Linked DNA regions of Rattus norvegicus. The protein of the gene in region 2 interacts with the protein of the main gene of each other region in a pairwise test. Links are inferred from orthologs where the notes say so. Each region holds a gene or a part of one and is shown on either strand. Other genes may lie near its edges.

The links. The genes of interacting proteins can lie anywhere in the genome.
Region 1: the proteins of Dmrtb1 (region 2) and Slain1 interact in a two-hybrid assay, tested with the Homo sapiens proteins (2 studies listed by BioGRID). The link is inferred for Rattus norvegicus from reciprocal best matches to the Homo sapiens genes DMRTB1 and SLAIN1.
Region 3: the proteins of Dmrtb1 (region 2) and Vasp interact in a two-hybrid assay, tested with the Homo sapiens proteins (2 studies listed by BioGRID and IntAct). The two-hybrid records come from large-scale screens. The link is inferred for Rattus norvegicus from reciprocal best matches to the Homo sapiens genes DMRTB1 and VASP.

Annotation. Positions count from the first base shown.
Region 1 is NC_086033.1:86,896,001-86,900,328, forward strand, and holds the start of Slain1 (SLAIN motif-containing protein 1), read left to right. Parts: upstream 1-1,475; 5' UTR 1,476-1,661; coding exon 1,662-2,215; intron 2,216-4,328. UniProt on the Homo sapiens protein: Microtubule plus-end tracking protein that might be involved in the regulation of cytoplasmic microtubule dynamics, microtubule organization and microtubule elongation.
Region 2 is NC_086023.1:127,678,448-127,682,775, forward strand, and holds the start of Dmrtb1 (doublesex- and mab-3-related transcription factor B1), read right to left. Parts: upstream 2,805-4,328; 5' UTR 2,737-2,804; coding exon 2,172-2,736; intron 2,150-2,171; exon of another isoform or gene 2,057-2,149; intron 1-2,056.
Region 3 is NC_086019.1:88,050,103-88,054,294, forward strand, and holds the start of Vasp (vasodilator-stimulated phosphoprotein), read right to left. Parts: upstream 2,854-4,192; 5' UTR 2,676-2,853; coding exon 2,671-2,675; intron 2,369-2,670; exon of another isoform or gene 2,352-2,368; coding exon of another isoform or gene 2,344-2,351; intron 1-2,343. UniProt on the Homo sapiens protein: Ena/VASP proteins are actin-associated proteins involved in a range of processes dependent on cytoskeleton remodeling and cell polarity such as axon guidance, lamellipodial and filopodial dynamics, platelet activation and cell migration.

The DNA.
Region 1 (4,328 bases), on a different chromosome or scaffold from region 2:
TCTCTCCCTTTCTTTGTGTTTCAGGGATACTGCGGCCCGCATCTGCCACTGAGCATGCGGGGAAAAATCTTTCACTAGATTCTTCACTTAGGAGTTTCAGTAGTAGCACTCCACTTCTCCAGGTTTTAGTAATAACCAACATACCCAAAAAGATAGAATGAAACTTGGAAAGGTGGTGGGAGATACAGGTGGTTCCGGGTCAGGTCGGATGGCCAGCGGGGCTTTGAGGGGGAAGGTAACTTCAGGGAAGTTACCACACACTAACTTACAGAAGCTCTTGCCAGCCAAGTTAAATTCAGGACACCCACCTTGCACATACACCCAAGTTTAGAGGTGTAGCTTGCCAAGTGAGAAGACACAAGTGTTTCTGAGCAGTAAGACACAGGATCAAATTAAAAAAGATTAGAGGCGACATCCTAGCTGTGCCACAGAGATGTACGCTGTGTTTTCATTGGCGCTATGCGGACAGTGCCTGAGCGAGGCCCTTCACAAGATAGGATACCATCTGAGGATGAGAACCAGCGGTGTGGATTGTTCTCGCAGCATAACGGCAGGCTTTCCTTTGTGTTAAACACACAAAATGCTGAGCCAACATTAAATGAACAAAAACGATCAGTTCGCCTGCTTAAAAGCACTTTTGTTGAAAATTAATGAAAAGCAGGGTTTCCAAGAAATCCCCCACCACCACCCACCCCCAAACAAACCAACTTTTGAAGCGGGGAATATTAGATCTTTCCTCTTTTTGCTCAGGCATGTGTGACTTCAATAGTGTAAATAATTTAACAGATGGAGCCCAAGTTCGCTTGTATTTGCAGTGAGTGTTGAGAAGCCAGCTTTTAGAACACAGTGGAGCATGCAGGGGATGCTCAAAGATCTTTTGTCCAATATCAAAGAGCATGAAAACCCTACTCTGGTTTAATGGTGAAAGACCGGTGGGGACAGTTCATATATGGCTATTAGATAGGGTGAAGTGAACGCCTGACTTTTAGAAGCTGGCCATTCTCCCTCATAGAGACGGGGATCACTCACTTTCCTTCCTCACCCTCCCCTATCCCACCATTTTGTTTCTGTGCTACCTAACACTGCCCTTAGCGGCATCTTTTCAAACAGACCCAAAGCATCTGCTTTTTGTGGGGGGACTCAGTATCACGCTCCCCAGACCTTCTATTTTGAAGAGGTTTCATTAGCATGTGGAAATACGATGAAGTCTAAAAGTGCTCCTGTAAGAGGGTTGGCCGTTGGCCCTGGGTACGTCTCTCCCTGCCGCAGACACCTGCTACTTCTTTAGATCTCATCTCTGGCTGTGGTCCTAGAAGTGTGGCTCTCTCGCCCTAAGCGGAGGAAGTGCGAGCGGCGCGAAGTTCAGGCCAGGTCCAATCAGGCACCTGGGGTTAGGTGGCGTGGGTGCAGGCGGATGCCCAGGGCGGGTCCCCGCTGCAGGTCCCGCCCCCTCGACGCAGCCATCATCGGAGGCTCCGCCCCTCGCGCCCGCCCCGTCCCGGGGCCGCGGCTAAAACCCGGAGCCGCTAGAGCAAGAGCACAGGGCAGAGCTGCTCGGCTGCCGCTTCCTCGGCCGGAGGCTGGGCCCTGGTGCTGATGCTGGTAGACTGCGCGAGCTGGGCCCGCGTAACCACCTCGCCGCGGCGCTCTGGGCTCCCGCGATGATGGCGGAGCAGGTGAAATGCGCCTCCCCGGTGGCGGGCTCCGGCGCGGGCCCGGGGCCGGTGGTGAACGCCGAGCTGGAGGTGAAGAAGCTGCAGGAGCTGGTGCGCAAGCTGGAGAAGCAGAACGAGCAGCTGCGCAGCCGGGCGGCCAGTGCGGCCGCCGCCCCGCACCTGCTGCTGCTGCAGCCGCCGCCGCCCTCCGCACCGCCGCCAGCCGGGGCCTGCAGCCCGCTCACCACGCACAGGGCCCCGGCCAGCACGACCTCTCCGGGCCCGGGGGCGCTGGGTCCCGCGTTCCCGGGCACCTACTGCTTGCCCAGCCCGGCGCCGTCCCTGCTCTGCAGCCTGCAGCCGGCCGACGCGCCCTTCGTCTACTCCAAGCCGGCGGCGGGCTTTTTCGCCGGAGGTGGCAGCCCGGAACCATGGACCGCGGGGACCCCGCCGGGGGAAGCCGCCACGCCACCGTTGCCTCCTCCAACGCTGCTGGACGAGGTGGAGCCGCTGGACCTGGAGAGCTTGGCCGCCTGGAGCGAGGACGACGACTACACCTGGTATGGACGAGCTCCGCCGCCCCCCTACCCCCGGGGTTCTGAGGCCCAGCACGCGGGGGCGGGGCGTGGGAGGTAGGGGACCCAGAGGCCTAGCAGGTGCCAAGCCCCAGCCGAAGCTTTGAATGAAGGCAGAAACCTGTTTTGTGATTGTGCCTATTGGACTGGGGGACTGGGGACTGGGGAGGAATTGATCCCTGCCATCTGCCTTGTGCTCTGCTCTTTGCTCATTACCGAGTCCCAAGCTCCTCGTTAGCCTTAAATGCACAACTCATGTCATCTTGTCGCTCAGCCCTGATCTCTCTCTCCCCCACGCCCCCCCCCCTCTCTCTGTGTGTGTGTGTGTGTGTGTGTGTGTGTGTGTGTGTGTGTGTGTGTGTGTGTGTGTGTGTGTGGTGACGATGCTTGTCTTCTGCCCTCCACCTCCACTGCTTACTGTTCTTTTCTTACAAACGAACATTGCACAAGATTGGTGTGCAGCCCCTCTCGGTAGCGCCTGAAGCCACCTAGTGATGGGTCTCTTCTCAGACGTCTGCTCTTGCAGTTGGGTTGTGTAGTTATATATGTCATCTCTCTGTATTTTCATTGATAACCTTTCAAATACTGATTTGATTATTAAAGATGTGCTTACCCTAGTATGTCAAAACCGAAGGCCTGTTAGGGGATGAAGGGAGCAGTGGAGGCACTATTATTATTTTTAAATGAACTTAGGAGGAATTTTCATTAATTTTAAAAATGAAACCGTATTGAAGCGGGCAATTTTATGCCAACTTGACACAGGCTAGAGTCATCAGAGAGGTGGGAACCTCAACGATGCCTCCGTAAAATCAGGCCGTAGGTAAGCCTGTAGAACCTTTTCTTAATGATTGATTTGGGAAGACCCAGCCCATTGTGGGCGTTGCCATCCCCTAGGCTGGAAGTCCTGAGATTAAACAAGGTAGAAGGCTGAGCAAGCCATGGGGAGCAAAGCAGTAGCTAGCATCTCTTCGTGGTCTCTGCATTTAGCACCTGCATCCAGATTCCTGCCTTGTTTGAGTTCTTGTCTTGTATGAGTTCCTGTCCTGACTTCTTTTAACGATGAGCTGTGATGTGGAAGTATAAGCCAAATAAATCCTCTCCTGATTCCCCCCCCCCCCCAAGTTGCTGTGTGTGTGGATCCTGGTGTTTATTCACAGCAATTGTAACCCTAAACAGTGATGTGAGAGAAAAACTTTATTATCTAATTTTAGACACTTTTAGGGTTGATTGGCAGGATGCCTGGTGGAGACCAGAAGCATCTATTCAATGGGAATCTGGTTAGCTGTGTTTCTGCTCGCGACTGAGGAGTTTTTAGAGGAGACAGGTGCCTAGACCCTGCGTGATGTGTTTTCCCTGCTGCTGGCCCATGGAAGGCTTGGCCTTTGTGTACCTTCTGCTAGGGTTTGCCTGCTTGGTCGCTGGATGTACACTAGTGGTACAGACATACCTGAGGAGTGGTTGGATAAAATGGAGTGTCAGGGGAGCCGAGCAGGGTTCACATGGAGGAATAGTACAGGCGGAAGAGTTTTATCCTTTTGTCTTTAGTGCTTTTAGTTAAGAAAATCAGATTTTTTTTTCACTTTGTAATCTTGTTAATGATTGCATAGAAAGGAAACAGAAGGTGGAGAATCTTACTGGTTTGGTATTGGGAACTACAATCTTCCTTTCTCATTGGCAACCTACACGTCAGCTACCTGTGGACTTTGTCAATTGCTTTGATTTTGAGAATTAATAACATTAATTGATCATTAACTGTGGGCACGTCTATAATCTCCCTCCAACTTTGATTTTAGGAACCGTGCAGGTGTCTGTCTTAAGTTGTGCGATTCTAATGGCTCAACTTCCAAGAACTTTATGCCATTCTTTCTAAACCACATTTGGGGGGAGAGTAAGGCCTAAATATAGTTCAGCTTGTATACAATATTGAAAAATGGCCTTGCAGTGGCTTTTGTGTTTCACTAATGCCTGTCAGCCCTTATGCTAATTTCAGATCAGTTGAGCTTTTGATTTTTTAGATGACGTATATAAACAGAAGAAATTGGTTTATAATCCTGATAGAAACACAAAAGAGCAATCCCTTCACAATATGGCATATTTT
Region 2 (4,328 bases):
AGTTCCTGGCAGTGCCGGTGTGAACGGCACAGCCCAGGCAGTTTCCACTGTGGTCACAGAGACACCATCTCCCCTCTTCATTTCTAGCCCCGCTGTCCTTGAACACTCACTCAGCCATGCTGTTTTGCTCTTTCAGCCACCTAAGGACCTCTCCAGACCAGATGGCAGCTGGCTCATCGATTAAGAAACCTCTCTTGGGGTTGGGGATTTAGCTCAGTGGTAGAGCGCTTGCCTAGCAAGAGCAAGGCCCTGGGTTCGGTCCTCAGCTCCGAAAAAAAAAGAAAGAAAGAAAAAAAAAGAACCCTCTCTCACTGATGCTTTGAAGAACATTATTTCTCCCCACAAGGACAGGATCCCAGAGGGCAAGGAAGGTGTGTTAGTCAGTTACTTGACACTGGGACAAATACCCTGGCAGTTTAAAGAGGGGATGACTCGTTTTTGGCTCACAGTTCAGGGCTCTTAGCCCCATCGCCTGTGAGTCTTGGTGAGGCAGAACATCCTGGTGCTAGCTATGGTGAAGCAGAACAGTTCATTTTCACCAGGAAGCGCCAAGAGAACGATCTGCTAACAAGCTTTCTCTTTCTCACCTTTCATCCTATCCAAAACCCTAGGCTGAAATGGTGGCACCCACATTCAGGACCCACCTCTCCTACTTAAGTAAATAAACTCTCTCTGGAAAACACCTACCAAAATGCATCCAGAGTTGTGCTTTCTGGGGGGTTTCTCACCAACCCATAGGACAATCGAGAACAGCACCATCAGGGCCAGCAAGATGGCTGGGCAGGTAAAGGCACCTGCCACCAGCCTGACAGCCCGAGCTCCATCCCAGGGAAAGAACCAGTTTCTCAAAGTTGCCCTCTGACCTCTCTTTCACACATGCGGGGATTAGCCACAAGTGACTCCTTCTCCCCACCTCCTTATGAACACCCGAGTTCAGCACATTTTAAAATTCTATTTGTTGAGAGATGGAATACAGATGTGCTCTCACAGGATTACAGGTTTAGGTCTGCCTTCCTCATCAGACAGATAGTTCCTTGGGGAAAAGATTTTTTTTTACAAAATCCCAGAAACATTAGGAATGATTAGCATTAATTTCTGAAAGTCTGCCCCTCAAGGAAGAAACATGTCCAAAGGAAGGAGAGTTTAAAAAAAAACTAAAACAAACAAACAAACAAACAAACAAACAAAAAACCACATCTTCATCCCAAAGAGACGCTTTCCAAGAGCCTCAAAATTTACACTACTTGAAAACGGCATACTTCACGGGCTAGAGAGGTGGCTCAGCGGTTAAGAGCGCTGGGTGCTCTTCCAGAGGACCCAGGCGCAATTCCTAGCACCCACATGGCAGCTCACACGAATCTGTAATTCTAGTTCCAGGAGATAAGACACCCTCACACAGATATGCGTGTAGGCAAAACACTAATACATTACAATAAATAAATTATAAAATATAAATACTTTTTTTTTTAAATTCCACAAGAAATCGTACTTTAATCAGGTACGCAACACGGCATAAAGAAACAATATTATTTATGCACAAAGCGAGGAGTGAGAAAAACCGTAACATCTGGCCAAGTAGCTGAAAGTTTTATTCCCAACCACATCCGGTAAAACAGAAAAAGTGAGTACAGGTGCGTTAGGCCATACACTGCAGTTAAGATAAACTAGACTCCGCTAAATGAGAGAAGGGTGCGCAGGCACAGTCTCAGGCGAACAGCCACCCAGAAAGCAAGTTCTAAAAGACTCTCTAGTAAGAGAAAATGGCAGGCAGGGAGTGGGAGGAGGGTTGTCACGCAGGCGCAAGACCGCTAGACATGGGAGGGGGAGGGGAAGGGAAGCCGTGCGAGGCGTGCTAGAGGGTCCACAAAAAGGCGCCACTGCCAAAGCTGCCCAGCTGCCATCTTTTTTTCTTTGCAAAAGTACAAAGGCAGAAAATTGCATCTCAACATAAACCCCCCTGCACCGCTCACTCTTTCCCACCAGCCTTTTCCCATTGCAGTCAGAAGCCGCCCACCCAAATCCTTGTCTGGGAACGTGTTCTCAAAGCGGGGGTTACCTGGGAAAGGCGCCTTTCCCACCCCAGCACCAGTCTGGGACTCCAGCTTAGAGCCGGGAGGCTGCAGGCCTGATGCAGGCCAGAGGAACCGTCGGCTGCACGAGGCTGGGCTTACCGTAGTCGGCGAACGGCAGTCGGGGCACGGGCCGCACTGGCAGGTGCTGATCCGGGCAGCAAAGCTCAGGCCTGGGTGCCTGTGGCCTGAGCTGGGGCAGCCACGCGGGAGGACGGTCGTGCAGTCCCCCGGAGCCCCCCGATCCAGGCTGGAAGGTGCTGGGGCCTGGACGGCCACTTGGGACCAGTTGGAAGGCGCTCGGGCCTGGGCTCCGGGCCTGCGGGGACCTCTCTAGGAAGCAGGTGGCCGCGGGGCCTGGCCCAGCACCTCCCAGAGCCGCCCTAGGCAGTGGGCAAATGCTGGAGCTCGAGGCAGTGGCCGTCGCGGCTGCCGGAGCCGGAGCCCTAGGAGGCAGCTGGGGACCCTGCGTGCCCACGGTCGCCCCCTGCTCCTCCGTAGCTTGGTTCTTGAGCACCTTCTGGGCAGCCATGATCTTCTGGCGCTCGGTGATCAGGTAGCACTTATCACAGATGCAATGCTTCCAGCGGCATTTACCCGCATGGCCCTTGACTGGTACCAGATAGCCGTGGTTCCGGCACCTTGAGCACTTGGGGGTACGAAGCATCTTGCCGTTCAGCTCTGCAAGCTCTGCTTCCAAACACAACCACCACTTCCCGAAGCTGCAGAGCGAGTGAAGCAGGAATGAGCTGTGCCCCCATAAATCCCTGGTGCAAGGGACATTGGATACACTTGTAACAAAACAGCTCACTGAGTGTCCCGAGAACTGCAACAGGGCTCTTGCATTTTTCCCACTTTCCAGGTGTGTGTGCTAAATTTACAGTGTTTCTGTGTGTTGGGCCATGGGGTGCGGAGTAAACTCAAAATAGAATACTTATTGCATGTATGTCATATGAGTTATTTGAAAGTTTTTGGCACTTGAATTTTCAAGCTTTCTGTTCCTACCAAATTGTAATTGGAAAATAGGTTTTTGTTTTGTTTTGTTTTTTTGAAAAATGGCGGACGTGTACTCAACGGTCCAGAGGTTTAAAACTCCTGAGGATCAGAGCTGTTAGTAAACCCATACTATTGGAAAGTTCCAGAGAACACAATGTTTCTCCTCCCTGAAGCAGCTGCTTCTGCTTTCATTTCTCTCCTCTGTAGAGAAAAAAAGCAGTCATGCTTCCAGAATATTCTTAGGAGCTTAGTGCCGTGTTGGTTACTTACAGGCATTGCAGAAACCCTGAGTTTTTGAGTTCTGTTTGTGTCAGCACTCTGGTCTGAAAATTTCATGCTTAATAATGTTATAAAGTAAAAGAAACATGATATTCCGGAACTATTTTGAATATTTGGGTTTGGGGTGTGTGTGTCTGTGTGTGTACGCATGCGTGCGTGCACGCGTGCGTGCGAGCGTGTTTATTGTTTCACATAGTCTTTTAATCATCTTTAGGAAGCCAAACAAAACTTACAAGAATTCCTTAGCCACTGTAATACAACACTGATGGAGGGTGCGTACTTCTCTCAGGAACGGGAGCCATAGAAGTAAAACATTTTCAAGAACCTTCCCGAGATATCTGCTCATCCAGTGTGGGGCACGCAGCCCAGCGTGTACAGATCTAGCTTGGGGGAGCTTGTTCCAGGACGGTGTTCATACCCAGAATCTACTGATATTACAAGGAGCCGCGATTTGCTTGTTTTGTGACAAACCATGAGTTCAAGTCTGTTTACTCTTAGAGGAAGGGAACACCCAACTTTGCTGAGTAGTCCTACCCAAAAGAAAAAAAAATTACACACACACACACACACACACACATACACACACTACGCACGCACGCACACACGCATGCACGCACATGCAGACGTGCACATACACACATAAGCAAACACAATTTCCATTTTAAAAAAAATCTAATAACCCACACACAACCTGTCATTTAAATACACACACACACACACACACACACACACACACACACACACACACACACACACACATCTGGGTTAAGGACATGTGCCTCTATCCTGGCTTTTGTTCTCTCTCTCTCTCTCTCTCTCTCTCTCTCTCTCTCTCTCTCTCTCTCTCTCTCCTCTCTCTCTTTTCAAAAGAAATATCTATGGTGTCTTTCAAAGGGTTTCAAAAGGTAAAGACAGGCAGTGCTTTAAATAGTAAGCAGGCCATCTCAGAGGTCAGAGCAGCCCGACTATGTTAAGATCAGAACG
Region 3 (4,192 bases), on a different chromosome or scaffold from region 2:
GATGACCTTATTGGGTGGGTGGGTGGAGGAATGGTAATGGTAAGTAAAAAACATAGACAGCTCTAGTTTTTTCTTTTTGTAATATTACTAGACTTAGACAATCCTAGGTACAAATTCAAACCTTACCACCGCTAAATTGATTTTTATACATTTTTGAAACTGGGACTCAATAACCCAAGCTGGCCTCCAGCTCCTGGTCCTCCTGCATTCACCTCCTAAGTACTGCGTTACAGGCATGAGTCACCACATCATACTCCCAAACCATTAAACTTTAACAGGCCATTTCCTTAACATTGCTGAGCCTCAGTTTTACTACCTGTAAAGTGGGGGTAAGACCAGGGGCACAAGTTTGTACTTTCATTGCCCTTAACTGCCGTGGAGATGAAAATGGAAAGAAGATGTGTGACTGAACCCGCTACATCACTTAAAAGGGAAAGAAAATAACAACCGCAGCTAGCGTTATTGCAAGAGGAAAGGAGTGAAGCTTTCAGAATTCTGCCCAAGAGCCCTCAGACCTCTGACCCCTTCTCTGCCTTTTCCCAGCTCCCGGATGCAGCAGACACTCGGCAAATATTTGTCAAACTGGGAGAAAAAGAACTGTATCTTGTAATTTTCCATCTCAATCACCACCTCCCTTCCCACTCCCCACAGGGCTGTCCCCAGTCAAACCAGTCCTGCCCCCTTCCCCACCACAGCATAAGAACCTCTGAGGGCACTGGACCCAAGCTTCAAAGTCTGGGGGGGTGGGGCTCAGTTTACCCAGCAAGGAATAAGGAATGGGTCTGTCTGTCTCTGTGTCTCTCTGAATCCTAGCTGTCCTTGGAGAAGTGACACAGCCAAGCAAGTGACCAAGGACGAGGGAGACCCTCTCCTAAGAGGGTGGGGGCTCGTTCAGTTCAAGTTGTGCCTACCCTTCAGTTCAAGTTGTGCCTACCCTCAGGGGAGGGAGGTCTGGCCCTGGCCACAGCCAGAGGGGGACGGGCTGCAGAAGGACGGGGACTGGGGGTGGGGGTGTAAGGGGCCGGCCTAGACGTTGCTCCTGCCCTTTTACGGTCTCAGCGAGTGAGGCGGCACTAACTCGGACATCCGCCATCCGCCTTCCACCGGGCCTGGGACCGGAAACGGGTGGGGGAGGGGCGGGGCTGGGGGCAGCAAGAGAGGAGGGGGGTAGTGGAGGAACTGACCCCCTTTAGGGGGACAGAGCTCCCACGGGGGAGGAAAGGCCAGGCAGGAAGTCTCCAGGGTGTCTCGATGTCCCCCTTCTAGCTCCAGACGCTAACACTCCCACATGCCAAGGGACAAACTTGGGAGGGAGGGAAAGAGGGAGGGGTCCTAGCTCAGGGCCCTAGAGAAGAATGTCACCTAGATGTCAGAGGGCAAGACTGAAGGATGTGCACATGGGGGGTTAAGCCCAAACTGTCCCCAGGAGACTCCTCCTCTAACCAGGGGCTTTGGGGCAGGAAGTCCCAGCCAAAGTGGAGGAAGGGAGATAGTATTGTCAAGATGTGGCCCCAAGGGAGAGATTATGGGGGGGCTGGGGCTGAGAGGAGGGGAGGCCTCTACCAGCCCAGGCCCCACCCTCAGGTGAGCCCAGGAGTTCAGGGCAGGTCCCAGAGAAGACATTAAAAAAAAAAAAAATCTCTGAGTCCCCCTCACCCACAGGATTAAATTCCTGGGAAGAGAGCTGAAAGAAGCGGGTAAGCCTGGGTCCCTGAGGGAGAAGGCTATGACCTTGACGCTTTCCAGCGCCCCCTCCTCCAATCCCACGGCTTGGGGAAGGGGGGTGACACCCGGCGACATTGAGCCCAAGGGGAGGGGCCGTGGTGTGGGGAAAAGCAGCTGGCCACAGTGCTCACTCGGGGGCCCGCCCCCCACACCAGCTGTCTCGACAGGTGAGTCAGGAAGACAAAGGCCCCCCCTCCCCCAGCTGCCGCGCCCCCTCCCTCACAGGCCACCAGGTTAGGGGGTGGGGGTGGAACTAGAACCGTCCTCTGGCCCGGGGGCCAGGAGCCGCCCTGGGCCTGGAGTGCTCCCGGGTCCTAGGACCCACCCAACCTGGGTGCCTAAGGGGAGAAGAGTCCCATCCAGACCCTCTGGGCCCCGTGGGTCAGAGTCTCAAGAACCCCTCCACCAGAGAACCTCCGTGTCCACCAAATTTTGGGACATCAAGAAGTACCCCCAAAGTTAAGGACCGCGGTTCCACTCTGGGACTCTCATCCAGTGCCCCAGACGCAAGGGTCCGAAGACCACAACCCGAGACTCAGAGTTTCAGGGCTCGGGTTCTCAAGCCAGCCTCCCACCTGGTTTTGAGTTTGGGGGCAGTAACTCTGAGCCCACTTATACCAGTTCATCCCTGCGACGTTCTACTTATCTGCGAACTCGGAGGTGCTCCCCCCAAAAGTCTTCAAATTCTGAGTCCCGAGAGCGCCCCTAAACCTGAAAGCCATCAAGAGAACCTCAGCCGGCACCGCCCCAAGCCTTTAGGGAGTAGTGTGGAGAAACGGGGTGTCGATATTTAGAGATCGCTCCAAGAGACATCGGCCCAGATCTGGGACGCTCAAAGCGCTGTGTCCCCTAAATCCAGCCCCGAACGAGCTGGGGGGAGGGGGACAAAGGCGGGGCGCGAAGCCGGGTCCCGGCTGGGACCCGGCTGGAGGGTTCGGGGCTCACCTCATGGCTGCGCAGAGGGCAGGCGGCGCGCCCACGGGGAGTGCTCCCGGGGCGCCCCTGATTGGAAGTGCAGGGGTGCGGGGCTGGCTCCAGGTTCTGCTCAGTCTCTCTCGGGGTCCCGCCCCATAGAGTCCAGCTTCCTGGGGAGAACGTGGACCGGGCCCGGGCGGGTGCTCAGGCGCCTCCTCCCTCCGGTGCTCTGATGTGCTGGGATCCCCTGCGATGGAAAGCGGGGTGCAGCGTCCGAACCTCGCCGGCGCACCCCCTCAGCCGGCAGCACCTACGCGGTTACTCTTACTACTGTACTCTCTTTGCTACATTTCGTTCCAAAATTCCACTCCCCATACCCACAATGCCCTGCGCCTTAAAGGGGCCGTGGACGCCTCCAGGCGGGGGATGGAGACCGTTTAAAAGGCAACGCGGAACCTAGGTCTTCCGCAATTGCACTCCTTCCTCTCAGTCTTGTGGCGTGGGGGTGCACCCTGGGCCTCACTCCCGAGTTGGAGGGGGAAGCTTGTTGGAAGGGAAGGGGCCATTCTTTGATCTCTAGCTGTCTCTACTATGGAATTCTTTAGTAGAGATCTGGGGGTGCCAGTTCTCCATTCCAACTCGCTCGGTGGACTTCTGTTCAGTTTTTATGGAGGGCGGGGGTTCTTCTGGTTAAGCAAAGGATCTCATTAATTTCCACCTTTAAGTAACACTTCCGTACATCCTCTGTTCCCCAGATCTCTCTTCTCAGGTCGGGCCCCACCCCTCGCCGCCCCCCACCCTCCGGGGAAGGTGTGGAGGAAGTGAGCGAGGGGGTGCGACGGGCCGCTGACTCACCGCCGCCGGGTCGCGGCTGGGGTGGGGGCGGGGGTGAAGAAGGTGGAGGATAGACTAGGAGTGAAGGGTTGGAGGTGGGACCCCGATCTGCTTCCCACGCGTGCCCAGCTATGGCTTAGTTTTGCCCACAGAGGATAGTAGGATCGTCCCAAGAATCCCGCAGGCTCAGAGGCTCGAAGACCCTCCCTGGAGCCCCTTCCACGCAAACACGTCGGGGCAGAGTCAGCCCAACCTCCCTCCAAGCCTTCCGCAGTGGGACCCATAGGCCCCGCCCAGAGTTACATCATCATGCGGACACGCCCCTCCCGTAGAGCTCCACCTGGCAGGGTAAAAGGCGTTAACTCTCAGAAAACATCAGTTCCTGACTTACAGATGGAGAAACTAAGGCACAGAGACAGGGAATGGGTTTAGCTTATGATCGTCTTGTTTGGGTCCCCCCCCCCAAACTTACGGAGAATCAATCCACGTGGCCTTTGGCCAGTCTGTTTCCTGGATGGTATGCTGGCTCCCTGTTGGCCTTGCAAAAACCTCATCCTTCAGGCCAAACACTTAATTCTGCACTGAAAAATCTAGTACACTAGTTGTCCTGCCACAAACCCGGAGGCTGAGGCAGGAGGATCTCGAGTTTGAGGCCAGCCTAGGCTACAGGGTGACTTTAATGTCATCTTATATATTTAAGAACACAAATAGAAATGGG